Xenopus tropicalis: one gene and its partners. The main gene of each other region encodes a partner of the protein of the gene in region 3 in a complex. Links are inferred from orthologs where the notes say so. Each region holds a gene or a part of one and is shown on either strand. Other genes may lie near its edges. The genes, in order: rab3il1, rab3ip and rab8a.

Region 1 (4,140 bases), on a different chromosome or scaffold from region 3:
AGGCTAATGACACACGTAGCGTATTCTCGGCAAGCCAAAAAACGCTTGCTGAGAATACGCTAAATATGCTTCAAAATGCCCCAACATGTGCCTGCCCCCCGATAGCATTGAATATGCTTGGCTGCAGGCACAAGAAGCCGATATTAATGTGGAATCAATATGTGGCTGTTAAAGGGGTGAGGTGGCAACCCTACCGGTATTAAAAGTGTGAGCAATCCTAGTTGTGTGTCTCCCTGAGACTTTCAACATTAGAATTTGACTCATTAGTACAAAAGGTTGAGGAGCTCTGGCCTGAGAGATCCATAGGGCCTGATTCACTAAAGGGCGATAAAACGTGCGCTATTCTTATTGTGCGCTAAAATTTTTACCGCCACTTAATTTTGGCGATTTTTCGCACAATTCACTATAAGCATACTCGCGCTTTTTTACGCGCGATATTGCAAGCGTTATTTAACTCGCGAAAGACTATTTCAATGCGGTATTTGCCTGTACATGCGCTAAATTATGCGAATAATCGCCGAATATGAATGGTAGCATAGAAATAGTGTATAAAAATTGTCGAAGCATATAAATGGTGTATATAAATATTAGCCACATATAAATAGTAGATGCTTATAAATAGTAGCCACTAGTGATGAGCAAATGTGTTCTGGTTTCTTTAGTGAAAAATTAGCAAATCTTTCGAAAGATCCCCGAAACGGCAAAAATGTTGTGCGGGCAAAAAAATTGTTGCCCGTGACTATTATTTTTTGACACTTGTATCAATTTTTGGATGTGCGGTGAATTTTTGCGTGGCAAATTTTTTCATGCGTTTTGCCATTGGCGGATTGTTTTGCGAAACGCATGAAAAAAATTCGCTGCGAATCCATGCCTGGCGAAACATTTCATCACTTGTAGCCAAATAGAAATAGTTGCGCAAATGAACGCACGCCATGTTAGCCATACACGCCAATACTTGCAGAAAATTACTGTATTAAAAATGAACATTTCGCTGCAAACTGGCGGCTGCGTCATTCTGGGGGAAACACAGACTGAATAAATAACACTGTAAGTCCATATTTTATTGCAAAAAATAATTTACTGTACTTTTGTATAATTTTTCGCCTGCCTGTAGTAGGTGTTAATTTTCGTATAGCCGAATGCGATATTTAGCGCGCAAAAGTTATAGTGAATCATGCGATCGTATTCTTTTCAGCGCGGAAATTAACGCAAAACAGTAAAACTAGTGCGAGAAATACCCCATGCGAAAATGGCGATTTTTCGCACGCGATAATACTATGGTGAATCGCGCGCAAGTTATTTTGCGTTTTTTAACACGAAAAAGCGTGCAATAATTTTTATCGCCCTTTAGTGAATCAGGCCCATAGACTCTTAAAGAGCATTATTTAAAAAAATACATTAGTTTGAGAAAAAAAATAATTCAAGATTGCTGCTACATAAGTGTAATGAACAGGGTCACCTTCTGGGCTCTCAGCAACTCCTCTCTCAAGATCTCAGAGCCCTTCTCTCTAATTTCTACCGAGGAACTGCGCAGGCGGGAGAGGTCATACTGCGTGATTTCCCCAGCATGCTCAGCGTAAGCTTTAGAGGACTCGGCTTTGGGAGGGGTACTCCACTCTTCAATGGCAGGGGAACAGCGCAGCTCCGGGACACCATCCAGGATAGGGGCCTCCCTGTGGGAAGAGCAAGAGCATGTCACTGATTGAAGAAAGCGCTTAATAAATGTCAGACTGTTCTATTAATAATGCACCTGATGGACAACAGGCCTGGAAAATAGAGGTTTAGGCAGAAATGACTGAACAACAAGGTAGCCCAAAGTAATTATATGCCCTTTGATTGGGCTGAATTGCGCCTTCTGAACTCTTCACAACAGCATCCAGTCCTGATGTTGCTGGACTACAGTTCCCAGTATGCTTCAAACCCTTATACATGGCTGGAGAATGCTGGGAATTGTAGTCCAACAACATTTGGGTGCAGCAACACTGTTATGAAATGGTTTAAATAAGCTGATGTAAAATTAACATGGCAGTTACTGATGCTGGTGGGATGCCTAGTTTTTGCAGGATGGGCAGATGTTGGGACCCAGCACTCCCAGAGGGGGTCATAAAGCAAGTCGGGGGGGGGGGGGTGCTGCCCTTGTAAAGATCTTGCACTTTAACATGATGTTGGACCCTTATAAAGAGAAGCGTAGCATCTCTCTCAGTAATGGAGCACAGCTGTCTCTTAATGCAAAGCAGAGAGCTGCCTCTTTCTGTGGAATAACCGGCTCCTTGAAAAGTGCCCCATAAGCAAACCCTTGGGGCCAGTGTTAGGGTGGGCCACCTTTGCCCCCTGCCATGTCTGGACTGAGAGTCAAAATAGGAACTGGCATTAAGTACAGAAAGGCCCAAACAGCCCCACACAGGCCCAATATAAAGCAAGAGTCTATGCCAGTTTACAGCAGCCCCTGTGGTATTTGCTAGACTTTCCACATTGGCAAACCTGCCACACAGAGCTGTCACCCCCCACAAACTGAGCAGTGTAATAAGGATCAAGATTCTCCCACTAACAGCACACAGGTTCCACTGAATAAAACAAGCTTTTTCCTTACCCTGCTCCCCACATCCTACCAGATGTCACTCTCTCCTCCAGGCTGCCTCAGGTTGGGGGGGAACATCCAGGAAGCATCCAAGATGGGACAGGGGGACCCGGCGGAGGCACAGAAGTGGTGGCAGATGCAGCAGAAGAGCCCACAGAAGGATGGAGGGCCACCAAGCCTGTGAGGCTGATGTTAGAGCACAGAGTTTTCCTGCATCCCACACAACTATGTGCCGCTCTCTCTCACTACTCCTCCTTGTCACTTCCTCCCTCCCCCCTCACTCTGCGGCACTCACAGAGGAAACACTTCCAGCTGCAGGCAGAGAGACAGAGAGCAGGCAGGGGGAGGGCAGCAGGAAGAGACAGTGGCTCCACAGGATAGCAGCCAGGGTGGCAGGTTTAAATCAACTTAAACAGTAGGCTCATGGACTGGCACTAGATATCTGGGCATCCCTGCACTCCGTGTCACTGTATATATATCACTCAGTGTCAGCTTTCCAATGTGACTTTGTTTTATATCACTGTGCTTCCAATGTCTTCCGATCCCTATTGGGGGCCTCGGTCCCAACGGGGATGGAAAAACTTGGATGCACAGTGATATAAAATGAAGTAAAATTGGCCAGATATTGCTCTCAGATGCAATGATATAAGATAAAGTCATATTTTAATGAAAAAAATATATATGCACAATAATATAAATATATATATATATATGCACATAATCCAGAATATACAATACACTATCTATTGATCTATCTATCTATCATCTATCTATCTATCTATCTATCATATATCTATCTACTGTATCTATCTATCTATCTATCTATCTATCTATCTATCTATCATCTATCTATCATCTATCACATCTGTGCAGAATTAGCTTTGTACATACCCATACTGTATTACATAGGGAATATGTGACTCAATGAATCTATTTTGTCATCAATGAAGTAAAACATATATTAGGTATTACATGCCCATGAAAAAGCCTATAGTGCTATAACGCACTTAATCATAGGCTATGATCTGTGGATCTATCCATCTATATCTATCTATCCATCCCCAGAGTCACATATTCCCTATGTAATACAGTATAGAGGATGTACAAATCTTATTCTGCACAGATGTTCTATCATTAAAGCAGTGTCCATATCCCTCTCCCCCTCCCTTCTTCACACATGGCCAGGATCATATGACCTCCATCTGTTTCTCATTGCAAGAGTGTCCACCCTCATACAGGTCATGTGACTGTCATGTGATGCACCCCATGGGCGTATTGTTGTTTTTTTCAATGAATTGAATGTTCCTAAATTCACTTGTGCGAGAGTGAAAGAGGAAAGGGAAATCTCAACTTGGATAGCTAAATATACAGGCAGGGGGCTGTCATTACGGATACACAATTGTTTAAAGGGGAACTATACCCTGTTTAGAAATAAAATGTAATTGTATTTTAATTTCTAGTAAAACACAGAAATTATTCAGCAAAATGAGCCTTTTTAGGTTTATGGATGGAGGCTGCAATCCTGAAATGCAGAATAAACACACATAGGCTTAAAATTAAAC
Region 2 (3,652 bases), on a different chromosome or scaffold from region 3:
CCTGTGTGTGCCATACTCTCCCTGTCCTATGCTGCCTGTGTGTGCCATACTCTCCCTGCCCTATGCTGCCTATGTGCCATACTCTGCCTACCCCATGCTGCCTACACACAGGTGTGAACAGGAGAACAATATGGGTGATTACAGCCCGAGCCTGAGGTGTGAAGAATGCAGGGGGTAAACAATGCAGAGATTAAAAGGTGTGAACAGTACAGGGAATTACATTTTTAAACAATACAGGGGGATTACAGCCTGAATCTGAGGTGAGAACCATGCAAGGGGCCAGTTAAACTCAGTAGTGATACAATTTAAAGCTTACACAAAGTTAAGCCATCAAATCAGCCAGACAGGTGGGGGCCACACAGAGGGGGGTCGCAGGCCGGGCTGCCAGTTGGACAGCACTCCTTTAAGGGATTGATAGTATGCATTACAACTTATTATAACCAGTGAAAACGCCTTAATAGGCCTCAAGCACACTGTTCAATATTTTTTATATATATATATATATATATATATATATATATTTTTTTTTTTTTTTTTTTAGTCATTGTAGTCAAAACTATATAAGCAGCAATGACCTCAGTCACTAAATTCTTTACATACATGTGGTTTACTTACTTTGATCCTCCACATTCAACAGCTGATGCTTTAACAAACCGCACAGGTTGCTGACCAGCAGGCTCAATGCTTAAGGTGTTGTTTTCTACAGCTTCAAGAACAGCTGCAGCTAGCTAAGAAAATTAATTATAAAACAAAATATGAGATATACGCGCATTTTACTGTGCATGTACATACATTTTGTAATCTATGACAAACTGTGTTATGCCCAAAAACCACAGCTAATATCAGCTTTATTTTTATTCAGTATAATGAATCCCCTTTACATCTCCCTAATGTTCTTACAGTCCCAGTGCTAGTTCTTTCAGTTCTCCCTTTACAAGTTTGGGGGATGCCTCACAAGTCCTGCCAGGCTTGAGTAACATCTATATTTCTTCTACAATGTTTCACAGTTGCGCAACATTAGCACAGGGTTATCACAGTGGCGTAACTAAAGAGAAGGGGCTAGGTCTGCTTCCTCTATACTGGGAGAGCCCTTAACAAACACAATAGAAAAAAAAATTGGAATTATTTCTTAGGGTGACATATCCCCTTTAAAGAGATAAACAGACAGAGACTCTGTATAAACAAGCCCCTCCCCACCTGGAGTTTGTGTCCCAGGGTTGCGCATAAGGAAGAGTTTTTACATCTCCCTCTCCTTTACTACATAAAGCAATAGAGGGAAAAGTTGAGGGAGATTAGGGAACACTTAATTAATGCTACCTCCACTGCAAATACAATAAAATAATATAAACTATATCTGTATTATTCCTACTAAGCACATGAAAAATAAGAACATTTACCTCACTTTTAGGGAATGTTAAACAAGGGCAGATATCCTCCTGATATATTCTGTGCAAAAATGGGCATGCCCTATCCATGGAAGGCTCTTCTTTCCAAGTTCTGAATTCATAGTAAAGGGATAAATCAGGCTATAAAAAGAGAAATACCTTTTAGAATATGTTTTTGTTAATGAGAAAGTAATATGTCTTTATAAATGAACATGCAAAGCTACCCTGCAACCAGAATCATTATGACCAAATGCAATGGTTTGCTGCAAAGAAAATTTACTGACCAACACTCTGAAATACTGCTCACAAGCAGGCAGCCTAATTATGATTCCACATAGCAGCAAGTGTAATTTTAAGAAATAGACCATTGCATTGAATATAGGAATATTGTTTCATAGGATCTTTATAAAATGTGCATTATGAACAACAGTTTGTGCCAAGAAAAATATAATGTTACTAATTAAGAGATATGAGTTTCTTATTATGTGCAGTCAGACATCTCTGTTCATTATGCATGCATACTCTAGTACCAAAAAACCATAATATCAGTGCTTGAGGCAGCTGGTACCCAGCTTTTTCACCAAGACTTCCCCAACATATACAACAGAGTGTCATGACTGCACATGCTTTACAAAGGAGAAACACACTACCCAAGCCATTATTGCTTTTTCGTGTCTTCAAGACTGGTTTTCCTGCTAAGAGAAAAATTATTGTGACACTCACACATAGGTTTAAAGATTCATCAATCTCCAGTGGCTGAGACACAGTCACTCTGAGCAACAGTTGCACCCCAATCAACAAAACACTAATTGAGCTGATAAAATTAAATTAGGACATGACGTGCCAAGCAGCCCTATAATCATCAGGACCAGCTCCTGAGGGCGGAGACACACAAGGCAATTCATTTTCAAACTTAAAAAGTTGGTTGCGGCAACTTTACCACCATAGGGGTTTTATAAAAGTTGCTGCGACTAATCACGCCACAACTTTTTAAAAAGTCATGGCTACTACAAAGCCACTAGTAGCAGCTACTTGTCACGGCTACAAATATGGACAATGCTGTTATAATTGTCTCTACGTGTTTTTTAACAGAGGCAATTTTCAGTATTGTCTATGGCAGGGTATTTTCTGGGTTGAGCAGCAGTGACAAGTAGCTGCTACACCCTTAAATGACTCATCTAGTGCTTACAATCTATTTAGTGTAACATTAATACTATGATCTGGACCCTAAACCCACTAAAGCTGCCATTGATCTCAATACAACAAGACAATTCAAAATTAACTCTACTTTAGTATAAAAAAAACACAATCAAAAGCAAATATGGTCCATACATGCAGGCATGAGAACTGGAAACAAGACAACTAAACATACAAACCTAAAATATATCCAGCACCTCCTTGTGGTTTTATGAGGACTGGTCATTGGTTCCTCAGGTCATTCCACAGTTTCCCATTGGACATTGTTTAAGCAAAGGTGTAGTAAGTATATATTACCATGAATTTAACTCCTTTTGTTGCTTAGTTTTCCTTGGTTAGCAGTTAAAATCAATGTTTGTATATATCTATAAGCTTGCTTTGAGCTAAGGGGATCCAGTGAGAAGGCTAATCAGGATGGGATTTGCTTCCCTGGATTGAGATGTTTTCTAACAATTTTTTTAAAACACTGCAAAACTATTTTTTCATTTCAAAGAAGAACTGGAAAAAATCCCACTGCACAGGAAAGTCTAACTTTCGTACATATTTTGTACAAATTGCAATTTGCATGAAGAGTGGAATTTTTTGTTTTTTACACTTACATGTGCACAAACAATACACCAAATAAACATTTCAAATTCCAACCTTTAAATTACCTCTTTCAGTTCCATGACAATTGGTGGCAGTACACTGAGGTCTAGTGTTCCTCCACCCATAGCACTGCTTGTGCTTTTGTTCCTGACATGGCCCTTCCTAAAGGGTGCCTTTCCAGCTGGCTGTAGTTCTTTTGTGGGAGAAGTTGGTGAGGTTGAGAGAACTAGTGTTTTCAAAGCTGCTACCTCTGCCTGCAGTACATCAATCTAAAAGAAATAAATATTAAAAACTATAGTTTAGCTCAACAACCTAAATAACAAGCAAATAAAACAAAATTCTATAAAATGTTCATAAATACCTCTAAACTAAAACCTGGGTTAATAATACATTACAGTTTCTTATAATATAGATTGTAAGCTCTACGGGGAAGGGACCTCCATCCTCTTGTGTCTTTGACTCTTAACTTATTGCAACTGTAT
Region 3 (4,113 bases):
TTATTCAAGAGGCAAGTGTTTTAGCCTCATTTAAGCACCAACAGGCTGCCAGCTGGGTCTGTTACAGCAATATGATTTCACCTTAGTGCTTTTCCAGATGTTTCCTAGGGAAAATAAATTGAATACTACAGTGTTGTAATTAAATATCATTTGGAAATGTTTTTTTCACTCTAATATGAAAAAGTATCATCCCCATCTAAAAAAGTCAGGGAGGAAATATTTGCTTTCATTTGTTACTTCAGTAGCATTTTTGAAACATATAATATGATTCTAGGGTTAACATTATACAGGCAGTTCATTATGTCAACACCTTCATTACTTTAGAGATTCCCAAATACAATAGTGCACCTTTCACTGAGCCTTTGTCACCTGATACATATAGTGCTCATGCAGGAAAAGAAATAAAAAAAAAAAAAAAGCTCTCTCTCAGAATGTTGGCTGTTTTACAACTCCACTAATTACAATCCCCATTTCATTACAGATAATGAAGTCGGCTATCATCATTAAAGAATCAAGTAGGAATGTGTGACAAACTGCCACGTCTCTGTTAAGCAGGTGCCAGTCTAGTTTCTCTCTTAGACCAAAGGGTTGCCGTTTCTGATGTAGCACACTTTCTTTAACACCTCAAAGCACTGTTTCCGCTATTGAAGTGTTCATGTTAGAGAAAAATACTGGGGTTTCTGTGAAGTATGATTTTTTGGAACAAGCATGTCTGAATTTCAAAACTGCTTTTAGGGATCACCCTGGGCGATACCGGTTATCATTCTAAATGTAATATAAGCAGCTTTAATAAGTAGAGATTACTTTTAATCTATTATAGTAAATAGGTAAAAATGTATTTTTGGATTAGGCTGATTCCTGTACCTTTCATGAAGAATTCGGCCGAATCCTGAACCAAAAGCAAACCCTAATTTGTCTAAAAGGAACCATGCATGCAGCATGAGGAAAAAATGTACTAGTTTCCTTACGTGTGTGACCAAAAGTCATGTGATTTTAAGGGTTCCAATTTTGTTCAGCCGGGCACTTGGATTCGGCTGAATCCAGATCCTTCGGAAAAAAACTTCAGCTGAATTCCAAACTGAATCCAGGGTTTAGGGTATCCCTTACATTAAACTATAAGGCCATATATCTAACACAGAAAATATTAAGTATTTTTGTTTTACTGTATGGGACCTGTTATCCAAAATGCCCGAGATCTGGTATTTTCTGAAAAAGGGATCTTTTTGAAATTTGGATCACCATACCTTAAGTCTACTAAAAATAATTTAGACATTAAATAAACCCAATTGTTCTGCCTCCATTAAAGGTTTAATTATACCTTAGTCGGGATCAAGTACAAAACACTGTTTTATTATTACAGTGAAAATAAAAACACTTTAAAAATGTGTTGAATTATTTGATTAAAATGTAGTCTATGAGAGAGAGCCATCTCATAATTTGGCGCTCTCTGGATAAGGGATTCCATACCTGTATATTAATGAGGGCTGCAATTGCATATTGCATTATCTCAAACACTGTCACAGGACAGCAGAACAGAACCATTTATGATCACCTTAATTGATACCTATGGATGTTGCATTAGTTAGGCAAAGTTGTATGCAGTTCCCACTAAAGATGTGACAAACTGGACCAATATATGGAGAGGGGATTTTTGTTTTTTGCTCAGAATAAAGTAGCTGCTATTTAAGAGAAACTAATTAAAAAATAATCTAAGCCCATTTGTTTTTTTTTTTTTTAATCAAATTCCCCTTTAAGTAAAAACATAAAAAATGAATATGCTATGTATTGTTGCCAGTTATCCCTTTGCATTAATGTAGGCATATAAAGCAAGTTTACATACTAACACCCATAAGAATAGAAGAAATGCCCTTTTCATTCAAAGTCTCACCTTTATTACACAGCCCGTCACTGAGTACAAAGGTTCATCAGAAGAGATGATATCACTGTAGTCTCTACAATAGCTATAACTACCTGGAATAGATCCCTCAACTAATCAGGTGCTACACTACCAGGATCATAACCAGTGATAAAATAAAAATATAGGTCTGCTGTTGATGACACAGGACTGACATCTCTAAAGTTCTACTCTATAAGGGACCAGAGGAGGCATACATGCGTTTCTTGTGTTACAAATGACAAGCTATAGCTCTTAATGTGTGTGTATTCATTGAGATGTTCTCCCTTCTGCCCATGTATATACACTAGCGCTTTATAAACCCCATAGGAACTGCTGGAAAATGTTCATCATATTCTTTATACATACATCAGCACTACAGATTTTTATCTCAGGTAAAAACAAATAATGTAACTCTATTGGAATTATATTACTGTATACTGACACGTACAGTTATAAAACAAGAAAGATATGCTGAATGTTCAATACTATATGCTACAAAGACAGACAATAGAAGAATGCCTCCCTTGGTATTAATGTATATTCAGACCGGCATACCCATACTTAGTACGTATACCCACAAAAAAAACCCCAGCACTCATCCCCTGTTCCATCCCCTTCTCCCACCAGTTGCTCCCCACCCGACAACTCAGACTCACCTATAGTGGATATAAAGGTTGAATTGAAGGCATCTTCTGAAAACCTAAATAATACACACGTCTTCCCGACCCCAGAATCGCCGATAAGTAGCAGTTTAAACAAATAATCGTAAGTCTTCGCCATATTAAAAACTACTATACAGGAAATACCAGAAGCTGCGAACAATTGGCCACGGGCAGCGTCAATCTATGTGAAAGCGAAGATCAATTGGCTAGTGACGCCCTGTCGTCACCGCAACCCGCCCATCCCAGGAGACCCCCCGCCGCCGAACCCAAGCGTAAAGTTTATCAGGCAAAGCTGCCGAGTCAAACTGAGAGACGTTAGCTGGTTGGTGGAAGTAATGTCAGAGCGGGTGCTCGTGATTGGTTAGTTTTCTGGGCCGGTTAATACATTGCCAGGTCGGAAATTATTTTCTGTGTTTAACTTCCTTTGTCTGGTAAGAAATAGCACTGAATCTGGAATGCAGTTTTATTTTTTGTATTAACTTATATTCCTATTATTTTATTTTTCCCCATCTGAGTAATGTGTTTCTGTGTATATAAGTAGCACTATGTGCCTACATACACAAATATTATCGGTACGACCAAGTATGATTCGATGCTTATGCTTTACAAACAGACGTGTTTGTGTTGCCGCTGCTAGTGAATCAGCCCTGCTTGTTATTTTTTTTTTGTGCGTTGAAATAAAAAATATCAGAGAACAAGGTTTCAGCATAGGATTATTTTCAGTCAGTAACCAGGAGAATTTGTCAAGAATCTGAATTCTTTTGCAAGGCACCGTATTTTAGTCTCATATTTAATAGTATGTCTCTTTTTTTGTTTTATTTTGCCTTTATATTTGTATTTTATGTTACCCAGAACATTATTGGCTGCCAGTTACAGAGCTTGTTGCAGATAGCGGCTGCGTACATTCTTTAGACCTGCTTGTCTGCTCATGTCATTGGCCCAATTTCCTGGAACAATGAAAATCAATATACAATACTCTACATACTATCACTCTACATATCTTATGTACTTTATTGATAACATATGGAATTACATACCCTCTATTGTTATTATTATTATGAAGATATTATAAGGCAACAAGAAGTCCTGTGATGTGATGTAAAGGCAGGAGGCTGGAGGCTGAATGCTTTAAACAAGTCATGGAACTTCAAGGTGACTTCTGAAAATATCATTTTTATGCATACAGTAAATCGTTACATAAATTATAACCCAATTTCCAAAAACATTGGGACACTGCATAAAATATAAAAAAAACAATGCTATGATTTTCATTAATAGGTTTGCTTTTGTAAGTAACTGTTACTTGAAGTTCTAACCCTGACTCCCTTCTAACCCTGTAAGTTATAGTTTCTAATGCTGCTGCACAAATATGGCTGCACCCTCATAAAGGGACATGAGGGATCAGATAGGTAATAAAAAAGCACCAGAAAGTATTTTAATGGCAAAATTATAAATAGCTTGGAAAGGCCGTGTTATGATAGATTTAAAAAGCAGTTTCATTTCAGGTGTCAGAATCTCTTTAAAGGGGACCTATAAAATAATTTTAAATTCTTT

The links.
Region 1: the proteins of rab8a (region 3) and rab3il1 are in contact, whole or in part, in a crystal structure (PDB 4LI0), measured with the Homo sapiens proteins. The link is inferred for Xenopus tropicalis from reciprocal best matches to the Homo sapiens genes RAB8A and RAB3IL1. Residues at the interface, in NP_005361.2 of Homo sapiens: Lys10, Phe33, Ser35, Phe37, Ile43, Asp44, Phe45, Lys46, Ile47, Gln60, Trp62, Thr72, Ile73, Thr75, Ala76, Tyr77, Arg79; in NP_037533.2 of Homo sapiens: Arg104, Glu108, Leu111, Glu112, Thr115, Ala116, Phe119, Glu120, Ala122, His123, Arg127.
Region 2: the proteins of rab8a (region 3) and rab3ip are in contact, whole or in part, in a crystal structure (PDB 4LHX), measured with the Homo sapiens proteins. The link is inferred for Xenopus tropicalis from reciprocal best matches to the Homo sapiens genes RAB8A and RAB3IP. Residues at the interface, in NP_005361.2 of Homo sapiens: Lys10, Phe33, Ser35, Thr36, Phe37, Ile43, Asp44, Phe45, Lys46, Ile47, Trp62, Ile73, Ala76, Tyr77, Arg79, Gly80; in NP_783322.1 of Homo sapiens: Ser199, Arg202, Asp203, Gly206, Leu209, Glu210, Thr213, Ala214, Phe217, Glu218, Ala220, His221, Val224, Asn228.

The regions. Positions count from the first base shown.
Region 1 is NC_030680.2:22,474,167-22,478,306, reverse strand, and holds the start of rab3il1 (guanine nucleotide exchange factor for Rab-3A), read right to left. Parts: upstream 2,884-4,140; 5' UTR 2,605-2,883; coding exon 2,591-2,604; intron 1,674-2,590; coding exon 1,460-1,673; intron 1-1,459. UniProt on the Homo sapiens protein: Guanine nucleotide exchange factor (GEF) which may activate RAB3A, a GTPase that regulates synaptic vesicle exocytosis. Promotes the exchange of GDP to GTP, converting inactive GDP-bound Rab proteins into their active GTP-bound form.
Region 2 is NC_030679.2:59,188,262-59,191,913, reverse strand, and holds part of rab3ip (rab-3A-interacting protein), read right to left. Parts: intron 3,440-3,652; coding exon 3,236-3,439; intron 1,527-3,235; coding exon 1,398-1,526; intron 729-1,397; coding exon 616-728; intron 1-615. UniProt on the Homo sapiens protein: Guanine nucleotide exchange factor (GEF) which may activate RAB8A and RAB8B. Promotes the exchange of GDP to GTP, converting inactive GDP-bound Rab proteins into their active GTP-bound form.
Region 3 is NC_030677.2:104,417,630-104,421,742, reverse strand, and holds the start of rab8a (ras-related protein Rab-8A), read right to left. Parts: upstream 2,833-4,113; 5' UTR 2,678-2,832; coding exon 2,554-2,677; intron 1-2,553. UniProt on the Homo sapiens protein: The small GTPases Rab are key regulators of intracellular membrane trafficking, from the formation of transport vesicles to their fusion with membranes.